Lepisosteus oculatus: one gene and its partner. The protein of the gene in region 1 interacts with the protein of each later gene in a pairwise test. Links are inferred from orthologs where the notes say so. Each region holds a gene or a part of one and is shown in the gene's direction. Other genes may lie near its edges.

Region 1 (6,905 bases):
GTGATTGTGCGGCTGTCCAGCTGTGCACAAGTTGCTGCTGCTCCTGTATATATGTACAGCCGCGTCTGTTGCGTGTGTGTGTTTTGCAGTGCTGTGGTCTGGCCACACCTAGGGGTCAAGGGTCAGGACAGACACACTGCCCAGCAGGCCTGCACACGGACGGCCGCCCCTCTGAGCAGTGTTTTTAAACGAGAGAGGAGAATATTGCACAAGGGCAAGTTTTTATTTTTTACTTTTTTTTTAAGTGTTACAATTTAAGGCGAAAGCAGGGGAAGTGAAATCGTTTTACTTTACAGCACTAGTGAGAGCAGGGAGGTGGCGATTAGACTCTACTGACTCTCTGTGCCAAGCAGTTTCTAACAGCCCTGGGATCTGTGCAGGGAGGTATTTTTTCTCATTTGTAGCCCCCTGGTTATGTTCTATTTTATACTCTCATTTGAAATTGCCCGTTGTTTAAGAGCTCTGCTGAAAAAGCCGCACAGTGGAGAATGAGAGTAGGTGTACGTGCCCGCCCATCGGAGCCTTTCATCTTGTGACGCATGGCGAGCCCCACTCCCTGACAGCAGTGCTTCCCAAACTGGTCCCATGTGGAATCGGAAGAGATTGTTTAAAGATCTGTGTTTTTGTGTGGCTTTTCCCAGCATTGAACCGAAGGGGTAAACAGTTCTGTCCCTTGAAACAAACTCAGATCATCACATCAGGCTTCTAGTCCAAAAAAGTGAACTGTGATATTTCTCATCACAGCTATAGTCTGTTAATGGCACCCAGCCCTGCTCCTGAAGGAACAGTCTTTGCTCCAGTGCTGATCGATGACTTAATTGATCTGCTTTCTTGTTTAGACTTTCATTGAACTTGTTTCATCTGTAAGTCCTGTGTGTCAAAATTTCCCGAATTCAAGGTTACCACTCCCAACACGTTCAGCATGTAGAACGCTGTGCCGCCTCTCCTCACCTTACAGAGTGAACAGCTCTTGGTAGCCGATCAGCTGCTGGTGAGCAGGTAGAGGTGGGAATGACGCAATGAGCGCTTCTCCTTCTGCACAAGTCTGATCAGTTACATTTCAGGGAGCGCTGCTGGAGGAGGGCAGCTCTGCAGCTCAGAAACTGGTACAGAGCAGATGACAAATACAAGCCCCGATCGACCTTTTAAGAGCTGCAGGTGAATTTACAAAATAGGTAACTGAGATCGGTGAGCCTGTGATTAATTACTCAGCTGCAATAAATAGAGGTACAGTTCTTCTAGGGCCAGGGTTAGGAACCACTGCTCTATGTTGAGAGTTTAAAATAATTAACTCTGGCAATATGGGTGCATTTTATTTAACGTTAAAAGCGTGCCGTGATCTGAAGAGGTTTGGGAAGCACTGCCTCTGGTGGAGAAGCTCCTAGCAGACGCCAGGGAGCGAGATGAAATCGGACCCTGGTACTCTCCCGGTCAGGTGTGTCCTGGTCACGGCCGGCTGGTGACTGCAGCCCACTCCGTCTGGGACGGCCACACCCTGCTGCTCGGCTTCACACACTGTGCCTGAGCCGCCCCGCTGGGCCGCCGCCGCCATTGTTTTAAACTGGACACCTGTATGGATGATGACTTCCTCGAAGAATAAAATGGCCGATACAAGAGTCTGTGTCGTTGTGTGGATCGAACGGCGGTGGGGGGTGGGGGGTTACTCCCGTGCGTAATTTAAAATCGTGTACCGGATATAAAATACATCACTTATGGATCCAACACGTTTACAGCCATATCGGGGAAGATATTTTTTGTAATAAGTACTTTGAATTGTATTGAAAAGACGTGACCTAAAATACATTGCCTGTAGGTGTGACAAATTCACGACATTATCAGGACAGTTTGTATAGCGGATACCCAGGTCAGGCTAGTAGCATGTGTGGCCACTGTGGGAGGAAGTACAAGCTGTACGTCTGGGACTCGTGACTTGTACCAGGTTGCAGATGCTGTGATGTGGGATTCTGTCCCTTTCCTCTCCTACTGCCTGGAGCCTGTGCCTGGTCACTGGTCTCTGAGCCCTAGATGTCACATCACCCCAGCTCATCCCAGAAATGTTTGATGGGGCTCACATCAGGATAGTAGGGATTCCACAGTATAACAGCCAGGTTCCTGTCAGTCCCTGCCTGTGGAGTTCTGTAGTGAGTGGACACTTCTGCCCAGTGTACACAACCACCGTCACATCTGTAACATCAATCGGGGTGGTCGACGCAGAGCGATGCTTCATCTCTGAAGAGGCCTTGGCTCAAGGGCTCTCTCCCCCTTTACTCTGATGAGCATTAGGCCTCTGTGTGATTGTCTGGCCTGCAGACAGTGGCTGCTCAGCTGCCCCCACAGCTGAGAACTGTAACGGACTGCAAGTCCAGTGGCAGTTTGAGATGACGGTGCATGATGTCGGTTCTGGCGAGGTATCGCGACTCGTGCTTTCCCAGATCAGTCCCTGTCAGTGCTGTTACGTGTTGTAACATCTTGCCAGATTTCGGAATAGTCGAGCCTTTCACATTCTGACGGCACAAAGACATTGTTCTCTTCGTCTGCTGGACAGATTCTGGGGTGTTCTTTCTTGATCCCTCAGGGTAATCCTTGAACAGGTTGAATCGCCTCATCCCCTGTGCTCGGTCAGCTCTAATGAAGTGATTCAGCGACTACACAACCGTCAAAATGACTTCCACAGTCAATCATGAATGATCAATTCATAAAACCGAAACTACAAACAACTTCTATATGGGCAACCTTTCAAACAGCTGAAATACTTCTGTTTTATTTTCCTAAAACATGTATGTACGGTGATTTTTCCACTCTGGTTATTGCCTTATAAAAGGGCAATAATACAGTGATGTTCCCTGAGCTCAGGACCTGCGTGGCATGGGCTTGGATGGTGCTAGGCTGTCTGCTTTGATCTGTTCCTGTGGTTTCTGGGAGAGGACGATGGGTGGTCAGAAAAAGAGGAGAACCCTGTTAGAAGTAGGGCCTTGCTCACTTTCCACAGTCAGACTGGTCATTTGTAATGCAATGGTCCAGCAGGAACGGTCAGCAGGCATGTGTGAGAGCTGTTCCTCAGGTCAGTCTGTCCACATGTCTTAAACAAGTCTGTCCAGCCTTCCCGAAGGGAAGATTCAGCAGGGGACAAGCAACGGCGGGCTAGTGGGAATGAGCTCTTCATGAAGCTCAGATTTTTTTACTGTAAACTTATGGCGCCATTTTGCATCCTATATTATTGTTGGGCATTTTTTCAGGTGCTTTTATCCAGAGGCGTTTGGAGAGAACGTCGCCTGGATACAGTCATAGCCGAAGTGCTCTGCTCCAGCTGCACGTTACAAAGGCTGTGTAAGGTTTCCACTGTGATGGTGGAATCCTTCTCTGCCATCACAGAAAAGGGTTGCTGTGCATGGCCAAGTCAAACCTGACTGAGTCCAGGCTTTGGGGTTTTACTGCCTCTGCATCATCCCCGGAAATATTTTCTTGTCTGCAGGATGGAGAGCAGACAGGCCATTCAACCCATCTTGTTTGTTATATAGAAGCTAGTAGCAACACCTGATTCAATAATTCAAAATCCTCAAAGACACTGACAAAAGTCAGCACTGAAGCACAAACCTATGTGGAAGAGCATTTAAAACCGAGAACAGGGGGCACTTCTTTACCCAGAGGGTTGTGGAACAATGTTGCTTCGGCCATGTTGCTGAAGCTGATACTCTTACTTCCAAGAAGCAGCTGGATGAGATCCTGGGATCAATTAATTAGGTACTAAATTCCAAACGTGTTAGACAGGTCAAACGCGCCTCGTTTGTCACCTACGTGCTGATGAAACAAAACAAACTGAAGGGCATCTCTCGGGCTGGGGAGCGCCTGCAATGCCTCTGGCTGCCACAAGAGGGCGCCGACCCCCCGCTTGCTGCTGACGTGGAGACGGGCCGAGAAGGACGCTTGCGAGTAAATATGGCGGCGCCCACGAGCGAGCGGGGCTGTTCCAGAAGCGGCGGTCTACCCGGTTCGGGAAACCCGGACAGCAGTCCGGGGTCCAGGGAGGAGGAGGACGGCATCCCGGAGCACGTCACCCAATATGTGGAGAGCGAGATCGGCGGGGATCTGAAGTCCCTGAGGAAAGTGAGGGCCCTGCTGGAGAGCCTGCTGGCGGAAAACAAGCTTCTGGAGGAGCAGGTAGGGCAGCCGGTGGGCGACACGGGTGACGGGGGCTCGGGGTGGGTCAATGGCAGTCCGTCTGCAGCGCTGTCCGCCCCGAAGAGGATAAAAGGACGGGACCGGCGCAGGGCATTCATTATAATACGGCCAGTATAAAGTGTAGCTCAGCCCGTTATTACTGAGAGACCAGTAACCAGTGGCTGTTTGTTACTGCTATACGCCCGGGTCGACGCCCCTGGTCCCTCTCGGGTCCTAGTGTAAGAAACGGGTAATTATTAATAACAACAACTCATCATAATGCCGGAGAAGCTGTCGGAATAACCGGGGCACAGAGCCGACACGGTCGCGCTTTGCTGATCCTCGTTGTACATGAGGCTCTTCACGCCCGCTATGAGCTGCAGCACAAGGAGGGGAAAAGTGCCTGAAATCCTAATAAGCAGGGAAACGACAGAGAACCGGCCCGCAGACTGGGGTTTGAAGTGTACGAGCCGAGTCCGCAGAGACACACGGACAGTCCACACGCCAGTGTGTGTGTGTGAGAGAGAGAAGTTTTCTGTGTGTGTTTGCGTCCCCGTTAGCGCTCCGCCGGTGAGCGCTTTGGCACATCGGGGTGCGATTGTCATGCACATCATTTCGGGCACAAAAGAAAACGTCCTTTGCATAAAGTCCAGCCGAGACGTGGGAAAGCGCCGCTTTCATGCAGCCCGGCTCGGCCTCTGCCGGGAGTTGTGCCAGATGAGGAGGGGTCTGTGGGGCGGTTGCCCTGCGCAAGACCTCATGCGGAGCAGGTGACATCAGTCTGAGCGGTGGGTGTGAAGAAGTCCTCGCTCTTCCGGCGATGGGTTGAAAATATTGCGATCTCTTCCCCCTGATGAGCTCGGCCCCTGGGCAGCCCTGTTCTGTGCAGGGGGCTCAGTTTCCCACCGAGACCTTGAATCAGGGCGACTCGCACAGACAGGCACTCAGGTTCGCTGAGCTTGAACGATGCCTGAACGATGAATTACTGCAACAATAAGCAAGGCATTAATGTTTACACTTATATAGCGCTTTTCTGGACACTCCACTCAAAGCGTTTTACAGGTTAATGGGGGCTCACCTCCACCACCACCAGTGTGTAGCCCCACCTGGATGATATGACGGCAGCCATAGTGCACCAGTACACTTCCCACACACCAGCTCTCAGTGGGGAGGACAACAGAGTGACAAAGCCAGTTCAGAGATGGGGATTATTAGGAGGCAATGATTGGTAAGGACCAATGGGACATTTGGCCAGGAAGCCAGGGTTACACCCCTGCTTTCTTCGAGAAACGCCCTGGGATTTTTAATGACCACAGAGAGTCAGGACCTCGGTTTTATGTCTCATCCGAAGTATCGTCACTATACTGGGGCATTAGGACCCACATGGACCGCAGGGTGAGCGCCCCCTGCTGGCCCCACTAACATGTCTTCCAGCAGCAACCTTAGTTTTTCCCAGGAGTCTCCCATCCAGGTACTGACCAGGCTCACACCTGCTGAGCTTCAGTGGGCTGCCAGGTGTGAGTTGCAGGGTGACATGGCTGCTGGCCATAATTTGGGATGCTCACTCTGTTCCTCAGGCTGTGACAGGAGATCACATACTGGGCTGCAGCTCTATTGAAGCTGTTCCCATTCTGGCAGGAGTGGGCATTCTGGAATTAGATGTCGTAATTTAGGGAAGAACATTGGCCTAATCCCTGAGAATTTTTTGCAGTGCAGCAGAAACTTTTTCTCTGTCCCTATGTCTCCCAACTGGCAGTGGGAGCACAGCCTGTCCTCTTTTAGCAGTGAGGTCTGCCTGTGTCCAGTTTCCATGGGCAGGCTGTGGTCACTGAGTCTGTCCTCTCTGGGCAGTCAGGTCTGTGTCCAGTTTCCATGTCCAGGCTGTGGTCACTGAGCCTGTCCTCTCTGGGCAGTCAGGTCTGTGTCCAGTTTCCATGTCCAGGCTGTGGTCACTGAGCCTGTCCTTTGTCAGAATCTGTTTCTCCTTGTCCCATGCCAGTTTGTGTTGTTTGTGTGTGTCCTGATGGGAGAGGCGGTGTTGTGTGGTCACTGCGTAATCTGTGTACTATTGGGGTACAGCTCCCCTCCATTGTGGACATTTTTAAAACTCGCTGTCTCAAGAAGGCTGCAGGTATCACTTACGTCAACAATCATCCCGGTTTCTCATCTGTCTCCCCCCTTCCCTCTGGTAAGTGTTATAGGAGCATAAAGGCTTATACGTCCAGATCCAGACGTACAGTTTCTTCCCACAAGCTGTCAGGTTACTGAACTCTGCCCCTGCCGCTGGCTCACACTGATGGCCTTTTTTTTGTCTTTTCTTCTCACCCTGCTTGTCTGACTTGTTTTTTTTAAGTTATATGTTATTTAACTTGTTGTTGTTCTGTGTTTCTGTTTTTTGGTTTCCTTAATGTCTTCGTACTGGAGTGTACATGCAGATAAGCGTGTCATTGTGCCTGTGCTCATGACGCGTACACGGACACGTACCTGGTCTGCTCTCCCCTGCTGCAGGTGCTGACCGTGTCCAGCACCGTGCCCCTCCGCGTGTCGGCGGCGCTGTCCGCGGCGGAGCAGGCCCAGGACTCCCTGCGCCACCTGCTCTGCAGAGAGAGGGCGCTGTCCAACACGCTGCACCAGCACCTGCAGGGGGCGCAGTGCTGGGCCGACCGGCTGGGGCCGCCCCTGGGGACGCTGGACCTCACTGCCAGGCACCTGAGCTACCTGAGGTGTCTGGGCCGCATCGAGGAGCT
Region 2 (7,739 bases), on another chromosome or scaffold:
TGCGGTCCTTGTCGATCTCGCGGTTGCGCTGCGCCAGCTCGCGGTTCAGCTTGTCGATCTCCGCCTCGTTGTGGTACAGCTTGAACAGCTGCAGCTGCACGTGGGCCCGCACCACCTCGTCCTTCAGGCGCTGGTACCGCTCCGCCTGGGGGCAGGGGCAGAGGCAGAAAGAGCGCAGAGCAGGAGGAACAGACAGGAGAGAAGATGATGGGCGAGAGAGAGAGAGAAGGACAGAGACAGAGGGGGGTCAGGTAGAGGCAGTGAGAGAGAGACAGAAAGAGAGAAGGACAGACAGAGGGGGGTCAGGCAGAGGGATAGGTAGAGGCAGTGAGAGAGAGAGAAAGAGAGAAGAGAAGACGGAAAAGACACGGGAGACAGATGAACGGAGTGAGAAGAAGAGAAACAGGAGGATCAGGCAGAGGGATATGTAGCAGCAGTGAGAGAGAGAGAGACAGGGAGAGAGTGTGAAGAGAAGAAGGAACAGACAGGAGAGACAGACGAACACAGAGAAAGAGAGAAGGACAGAGATGGAGTGGGATCAGACAGGGAGATGGGTAGAGGGCGCGATATAAACAGAGTGTGGACAGAAAGGGGGACAGAAATAAGAGAAAAGGAATGAGAGAAGACGGATAATTAATAAAGCTGTACATTAGAAGACTGTATAGTATATATAGTATAGTGCCACAAAGAAGAGCTCAAAAACAGTAAGATTAGTCTGTACATTATTTCTTTTTGTTGTATTGCATGTATATATTCCCTAAGAATTACTTTTGCTTCATGATGTACTTTTACTGTGTTAAGGAGAATAATACATGTCCCACAATACTTCTGTGAGAGTTTAGCCTGCATTTCCGAGTCCCAGAGCTGAACCCCCTCTTGTATAGGGATCCCTATGGGACCTCCGGTGTATAACGCAGTGCCCGGCACTCCAACCTCCTCCTTCTCCTGCTTGGCCTCCTTGCGCTCGGCGGCGATGTTCTTCTTGCGGTGGTAGTTGAACTGCGTGTCCTCCTCGGCCTTCACCATCTCCTTCTTCCTCTTGTCGTACTCCTGCGCCAGCTCGCCCGAGCGCGAGATCTCCTCGAACAGGGCCGTGCGCTCCTTCGGGTTCTTCATGGCGATGGACTCCACCGCGCCCTGTGCGAGGAAGGGAGGGGGGGGGGGGTCACGCCTGGTCCCTTGAACAGCTCAGAATCCGATATTCACAATCTCCGGACTGCGACTGAAGCAACAGTGGTGCCTTCTTCTTTACAACAAGAAGAAACCGAGAACCAACAGCTGATGCTTTCAACACGAATGCAACTCCACCCAGCAATCGACATATGGCAGCCTCCCGCACCACGACCAGAAAAGGAGCAAGGTGGGGTGTCCCTGGGTCCCCTGAATGACCTGCCTGGTACCCAACAACTGCATCAGGCCACCCCAGGCTCTGGTCTTGGGGGGGGGCAGTCGATCTGGAGCACTAGATTCGGAGGCCGGCAGGACGGGCGACGCCGTCAAGGGTACCTGGAAGACGAGGAAGTTTCTGGCCTTGATGAGAATGCCCAGCTTCTCCAGCTCCTCGCTGTACTCCGACAGGCCCACCACCTTGCTGTTGATGCGGTACTCCGAGGAGGAGCCTGCGGAGCGGGGAGGGGGGAGGGGGGAGAGGCACAGGAGGTGGTGAGGAGGAGCACGAAACACTGCGGCCCCGCCTCGCTTCCGGAACCGCCCCGCCCGCGCTCAGGCCGGCAGCTGGGAGAGCGCCGCTTTTCCCGAACACGCCCGTACCCATCGGCAGAGGAGTGCGTCGTGAAACCCTGTGAACACTACTATTGCACACACAGAGGCCACTCCGCTGTGTGGCTCATTTAGGTCATCCAGGTGCGCCACAGCACCGAGTCTGAATACCTGGGCAACTTTCGTTCAGATTATCTACCGACTTCTATTTGCTTCTTGCTGCGAATGTGCGCGTGACAGATCACCAGCTACTTCAAGGCGCCATGACCGCAAGCTATAAGGCAGTGCGGGCACTCAGGCAGAGCACCGGGCACCGTGCCGATGATGACCCTGCTGTAGCTCCTCTCCCCTCGCGCCCTCAGACGCGGCGGCGTGGCGCCTCCCTCTAAAGACACGGGCGTACCGATGATGACTCTGGTGAAGCTCCTCTCCTCGCCGCTGTCCTCGCAGTACACCATGCTGACGTAGGCCCGGTTGGCAGCCGGCTTGCCCACGGGCGCCCCGTGGATCAGGTCCTTCAGCGTCTTCACGCGCAGGTTGCTGGTCTTCTCCGCCAGCACGAAGCTGATGGCGTCCATCAGGTTCGACTTCCCTGCGGGGGGGGAGGGTTACACGGTGAAGGAAGCCCAGGGGTCAGGGGTCGACGGGCCACTCTGCCTGGCCCCATTGTAAAGACTGGGCACTTCACCCCGGCTCAATCCAGAGCAGGAAACGACAACCGACGGCCTCATCGGGGCTGAATTACTGCACATCGGCCTGGACAGTGCAACTGCACACAGACACAGAGAGGAGCAGAAGGAAGCCTGCACACGAGAGGAGGCCATTCAACCCATCTTATCAACTTCCACTCTGTGATGAGCAACTCAATGGCACATTTTCCTGAGAGCTGGGATTAGGAACAAATCAACATTAAACAGAGAAGCAACTTAACACTCAGGTACCAAGTGAGCTTATAAAGGGCATTTATTTAGGGCAAAGAATAGGAAACATTTCATGACACAAAGGGCTGTGGGAGCAGGGAACACGCTGCCCAGCCATGTTGTTAAAGCTGATACTCTGGCTTCTTTCACGGAACAGCTGGAAGACATCAATTGGCAATGAACTACCAAGCAGCCACAGCTGGTCCAAATGGCCTCCTCTCATTGGTCACCGTTCCCACGTTCCACTGCAGTCGTCGCCCCAGTTAGTGAACCTCAAGCCTCACGGATCTCAGGTGTGGATAAACTTACAGCATTTGAGTCCTCCCCCCCCCCCTAATGGGATCCCCTCAAACAGACTGGGCACGCAATGCAATGCAATGCATCTTCTGGAAAAAATCTCAGACAGACAGCTTTCCAGATAGCCAACACGGCCTCAAATCTCAGGCTTTAGCTGCCAGAGCAGAGCTCCCAGTGTGGAGAGCCCCCTGCGTGGAAGAGAGCCCACTGCTCTCGGTTGGCCATACCAGGTCGCTTTCATCCTGGGTGCAGCTGCTGTCTGCCATATCCAGCACCCCACTGGGAGTCTCTATCCGTATCGTCCCCGCAGTCTCTCCTCTTCTCTCTTGTGGGGACTCTCGATTAGTCCGTCTGCCCGGGCACGGGCTCGGTACAGCCTACCGTGAGCGCGATGGTGGCGATTTTGGTTAAAGTGATTTATATGCAACAGCTTGTTGACCGTGTGGTTCACACTTCACAGCGAAAGGGATATCGAATCACACAGGGAGGGACTGCACGCCTGTCTCTGCGAGTACGTCTGCCTTCTAGTCGCTAGAATCTCGTGTATTTAATGCATTTGCTAGGTAATCCTTAATTTCCTAAGGTGAACACTGTACCTCCACCGGGTGAATTAAAGCTGAACAAAGAGGCAGAAAAAGCAAACACGCCTTGTGCATCTTTCTTTGTCGAAAGAGACACACCGACAACACTCAGGTGATTAGCGGTACATACTTTATACAAGAACTACGGCTCCCGTTTTCAATAATTCCAGTAACTGTGAAAACAGGACGGCGTACACTCAAAAACACCGAACAGGTCTGTTAAAACGGGTTCTTGCATCCCTACAGAGAAGCTGCATTTGTAAAAGGGAGTTACGTCGTTGCGTTATGAAGAGTGCCGAGGACTGCGTCCTGCCGAGACGGACACACACACACGTGTGTGCTCACACAGCCAGATGACGCGGGGGTACAGGACAGGCATGTCTGCAGAGCGACAGGATCTACCGGCGAGGTCGGACAAGCCCGGTTACTCGGCGGCTCACCCCGCGGCCCGGCAAGAGTGCAGACAGCGCCTCTCCTGCCGCCGACGAGCGGCGCCTCAGCTCCCCGCAGCCAGCCCGCAGACTGACAGAAGCCCCGCACTGACAGCCCCTCTGGAAATCCCTGCGCGTCCCAAGACAAGCGCATCACGCACAAATAAGCGATTCACACTCGGGTGTCTGCAGAACGGCCCGGCTACAGAAATGAAACCGGGCTTCATATGCAATACAACCAGAAACCGTGCAGGAATTCGTCCCTTCATAAACCCGCCATGCAGAAACGGAGGCCTACTCCACCCCCGGCCTCGAGTAGCGGCTGGGTCCGCTCTCCGGCCGCCCTGAGACGGCCAAGCCCCGCCTGAACGCCGCCGACTGTGCGCCCTTACCCGATCCATTGGGGCCGATGATGGCTGTGAACTTGTGGAAGGGCCCGATGATCTGGCGTCCTTTGTAAGACTTGAAGTTTTCGATCTCTATCAGTTTTAAATACCCCATTTTTAAAAACGTTTGTGCAAACGAATTTCAACGTCCGTATTCCTGGTTCAAATGTTTATCTGTAAAATGTACTCTCACATACAGCGTTAACCGCCCCCTCTCTCCTGCGCAACCAATAGCTTTATTTCTTAGGAGATACGATATCTCCTTCTTTAGATTTTATATATCTATCACTAAAATGATTTTTTTTCATTAAATTATATTTCAAAAACCTAAATGAAAACAATTACTGCCGGAGCGCGCGCGCAACCGGAGTAAAAACAAACAGCAGCGCCACCCCTGCTCTCGCGAGCTCACGCGGGCAAGCACGCATACGTCCAAACCACACGCAAGACGTGCGACGCCAAGGCCGGCCATCTTCCTTTTGGGCACCACCTTCAGTCGACTTAAATGGGAGTGAGGGCACATTACAGGGCGAGTGGTGGATTCTCGTTTCCATAGGAACCCCAAGCGGCTGACTAGAAACAAATCAATTGGAATTTGCTCTGGGCACACATTAGTGGAAGGAGCTACCTGGCGCAAACGCAGCCAAAACCCTGGTAAGATAAGTGTTTTTTTTCTTTCTTCTAGCAGATAACAAATGCAAACCAACCCATCTATAAACCTCTGTTAGACTTGGCTTGGATCACGGCGGTGTGTCGCCTTGAAGCAGACTGCAGTGGGGTTGCTGTACAGCTGTTTATAACAAAGATAACTTGCGAAACAGAATCTCACCGCAATATTGGAAAACAAGGCTCCCTTGAGCAGATGAATTTGGACGAAAACCTATATTCGTCGCAGAGATACAGATGCAGACCACACAGGTAGCAAGCGTGGGTCCGGGAGAGACACTATGCAGTAAACTTACTAAATTCTCGGATTCCAGAATAAAGATTCCGTTCTCAGCTCCTCTGCTTCTACACACGGATCAATTCTAATTTTCATTAAAGTAAAGCAGAGGGAAATCCACTATGTTGACTGTAGCTGCCTTAGAGAACTTCGACTACTTGTATCGGTTGCTCATGTAGTCTGGGCGGAATACAGAGGGTCCACTCCCTCAGCCCAGGACTGACTGACCCCAGAGCAGCACTGTCTTGACTACTGTCTTGTCAGGAGGCCAAGAGCACGTTCTTAGGGAGTGACGGGTCTGTCTTCTCTGCTGAAGGCCAGACAGCACGCAGCTCTGGACCGGGCGTTAAAGTGCCCAGGTCCACTCCACAGATATTCCATTGCTGCAGTGAGACTGAAGTGTCACAGGACAGTGGCCGTCCCCTGCAGCGTACAGACAGCCCTGTCCCACGCCCAGGGAGAGCGTCCATGCCAACGTCACTGGATGCTAATGTGTGAAATCAGGGACCAGGGCGTTTCTCAAAAAGAGTAGGGGTGCTCACCCCAGTGTTGGGGCCAAATCTCCCCCTCAACATTACCTATCAAGGCCTCCTAATAAGCCCCTTTGAACTGGCTTCGTCACTCTGCTCTCCTCCCCACTGAGAGCTGGTGTGTGGGGAGAGGACTGGAGCATCGTCCAGGTGGGGCTGCACACTGGTCCCCATTACCTGTACAGCGCTTTGTGTGGAGTGTCAGAAAAAGCGCTATATAAGTGTAGGGAGTTATTATTACTGTTGTTTCAGGACTGAGACACGAGTATCACCAGAACTTTATGCAGAGCAGCACAAAACATGAATGTAAACATGTCCAGAAAAGCACTATATATAATATATACTTAATGAGTAAATATATAATAACAGTCCTCACACTTTTATGTCGAATCCTTACGATGTATGTAAGTGTAAGGATAATTATTATTTATGCTGTTCTGATGTTATTGTTTTTCTTCAGTGTGTGTGGCAGTGCAGTGTCGCGGGATGTATAAAGTAGACCTGCCTGTAGATGGCGCCCTCGCGGCGGCGGTGGAGCGCCGGCGGCTGGCGGAGGCGCAGCGGCGGAGCCGGGTGTTTAACCCGCGGGTCCGGACCCTGGGGGTGGACCTCCCGGGGCTGGAGAGGCAGGTGGAGGAGCGCCGGGTCCTGGAGGAGGCGGAGAGACGGAGGGACCGCGCCTTCGGTGAGAGACAGGGTCATAGGTCACACCCCCACCTGGCTGAGTGTCACTGTCACCCTCTACAGCAGTGTGTGTGTTAACCCCTCTGCCTCAGTGCAGTGTGTGTATTAACCCCTCTGTCTCAGTGCAGTGTGTGTGTACAGCAGTGTGTGTATTAACCCCTCTGTCTCAGTGTGTGTACAGCAGTGTGTGTATTAACCCCTCTGTCTCAGTGCAGTGTTGTGTACAGCAGTGTGTGTATTAACCCCTCTGTCTCAGTGCAGTGTGTGTGTACAGCAGTGTGTGTATTAACCCCTCTGTCTCAGTGCAGTGTGTGTGTACAGCAGTGTGTGTATTAACCCCTCTGTCTCAGTGCAGTGTGTGTGTACAGCAGTGTGTGTACTAACCCCTCTGTCTCAGTGCAGTGTGTGTATTAACCCCTCTGTCTCAGTGCAGTGTGTGTACTAACCCCTCTGTCTCAGTGCAGTGTGTGTGTACAGCAGTGTGTGTATTAACCCCTCTGTCTCAGTGCAGTGTGTGTACTAACCCCTCTGTCTCAGTGCAGTGTGTGTGTACAGCAGTGTGTGTACTAACCCCTCTGTCTCAGTGCAGTGTGTGTGTACAGCAGTGTGTATATTAACCCCTCTGTCTCAGTGCAGTGTTGTGTACAGCAGTGTGTGTATTAACCCTTCTGCCTCTCTCAGATGCACTCAGCCTTGCCCAGGATGCAGTGTTTGTTCAGGGTCAGCAGGAGGAACAAGAGACTCGTGCCCAGCTGGCCCGGGAGCTACAGGAGTTTCGGGCAACCCAGCAGTGCCCCAAAGACTCTCGGGACTTTGACCTTAATGACCCTCGTGCAATACACAGCGATTCCCCTGCCGGTCTCACCGACCCTGATGCCCAGTATGGGCCAGCCAGCATGCAAAGATTCGAGGTCAGCCATGCATAAAGACAGCACAGAAAAACATTTAGGCAGAGACACTCACTCAAAGAAACAGAGAAAGACAAAGACAGAAAAGAGCCTTGCAATCATGTCATTAGCACAACACATCCAGCTCCTGGTGCTGGTCTGTGTCTCTGTTTTTAGTGCTGTGTGTCAATAGTCCCAGTGCTTTCTGTATGTGTCAGAATTTGTAGGGCTCTGTGTTTGTCAGTATCCTCAGTGCTCTGTGTGTCAGTATCCTCGGTGCTCTGTGTGAATATTCTCAGTGCTCTGTGTGTCAGTATCCTCGGTGCTCTGTGTGAATATTCTCAGTGCTCTGTGTGTCAGT

What was found.
Region 2: the proteins of rint1 (region 1) and ribc1 interact in binary tests that used the Homo sapiens proteins (3 or more experiments, as listed by UniProt). The two-hybrid records come from large-scale screens. The link is inferred for Lepisosteus oculatus from reciprocal best matches to the Homo sapiens genes RINT1 and RIBC1.

The regions. Positions count from the first base shown.
Region 1 is NC_090702.1:48,097,514-48,104,418, reverse strand, and holds the start of rint1 (RAD50-interacting protein 1), read left to right. Parts: upstream 1-3,886; 5' UTR 3,887-3,936; coding exon 3,937-4,158; intron 4,159-6,666; coding exon 6,667-6,905. UniProt on the Homo sapiens protein: Involved in regulation of membrane traffic between the Golgi and the endoplasmic reticulum (ER); the function is proposed to depend on its association in the NRZ complex which is believed to play a role in SNARE assembly at the ER.
Region 2 is NC_090697.1:74,708,687-74,716,425, forward strand, and holds the start of ribc1 (RIB43A-like with coiled-coils protein 1), read left to right. Parts: upstream 1-4,735; 5' UTR 4,736-4,988; intron 4,989-5,095; exon of another isoform or gene 5,096-5,252; intron 5,253-6,267; 5' UTR 6,268-6,293; coding exon 6,294-6,492; intron 6,493-7,172; coding exon 7,173-7,402; intron 7,403-7,739. Other genes in the region: structural maintenance of chromosomes protein 1A, read right to left, coding at 1-145, 934-1,137, 1,507-1,619, 2,123-2,311, 4,341-4,449.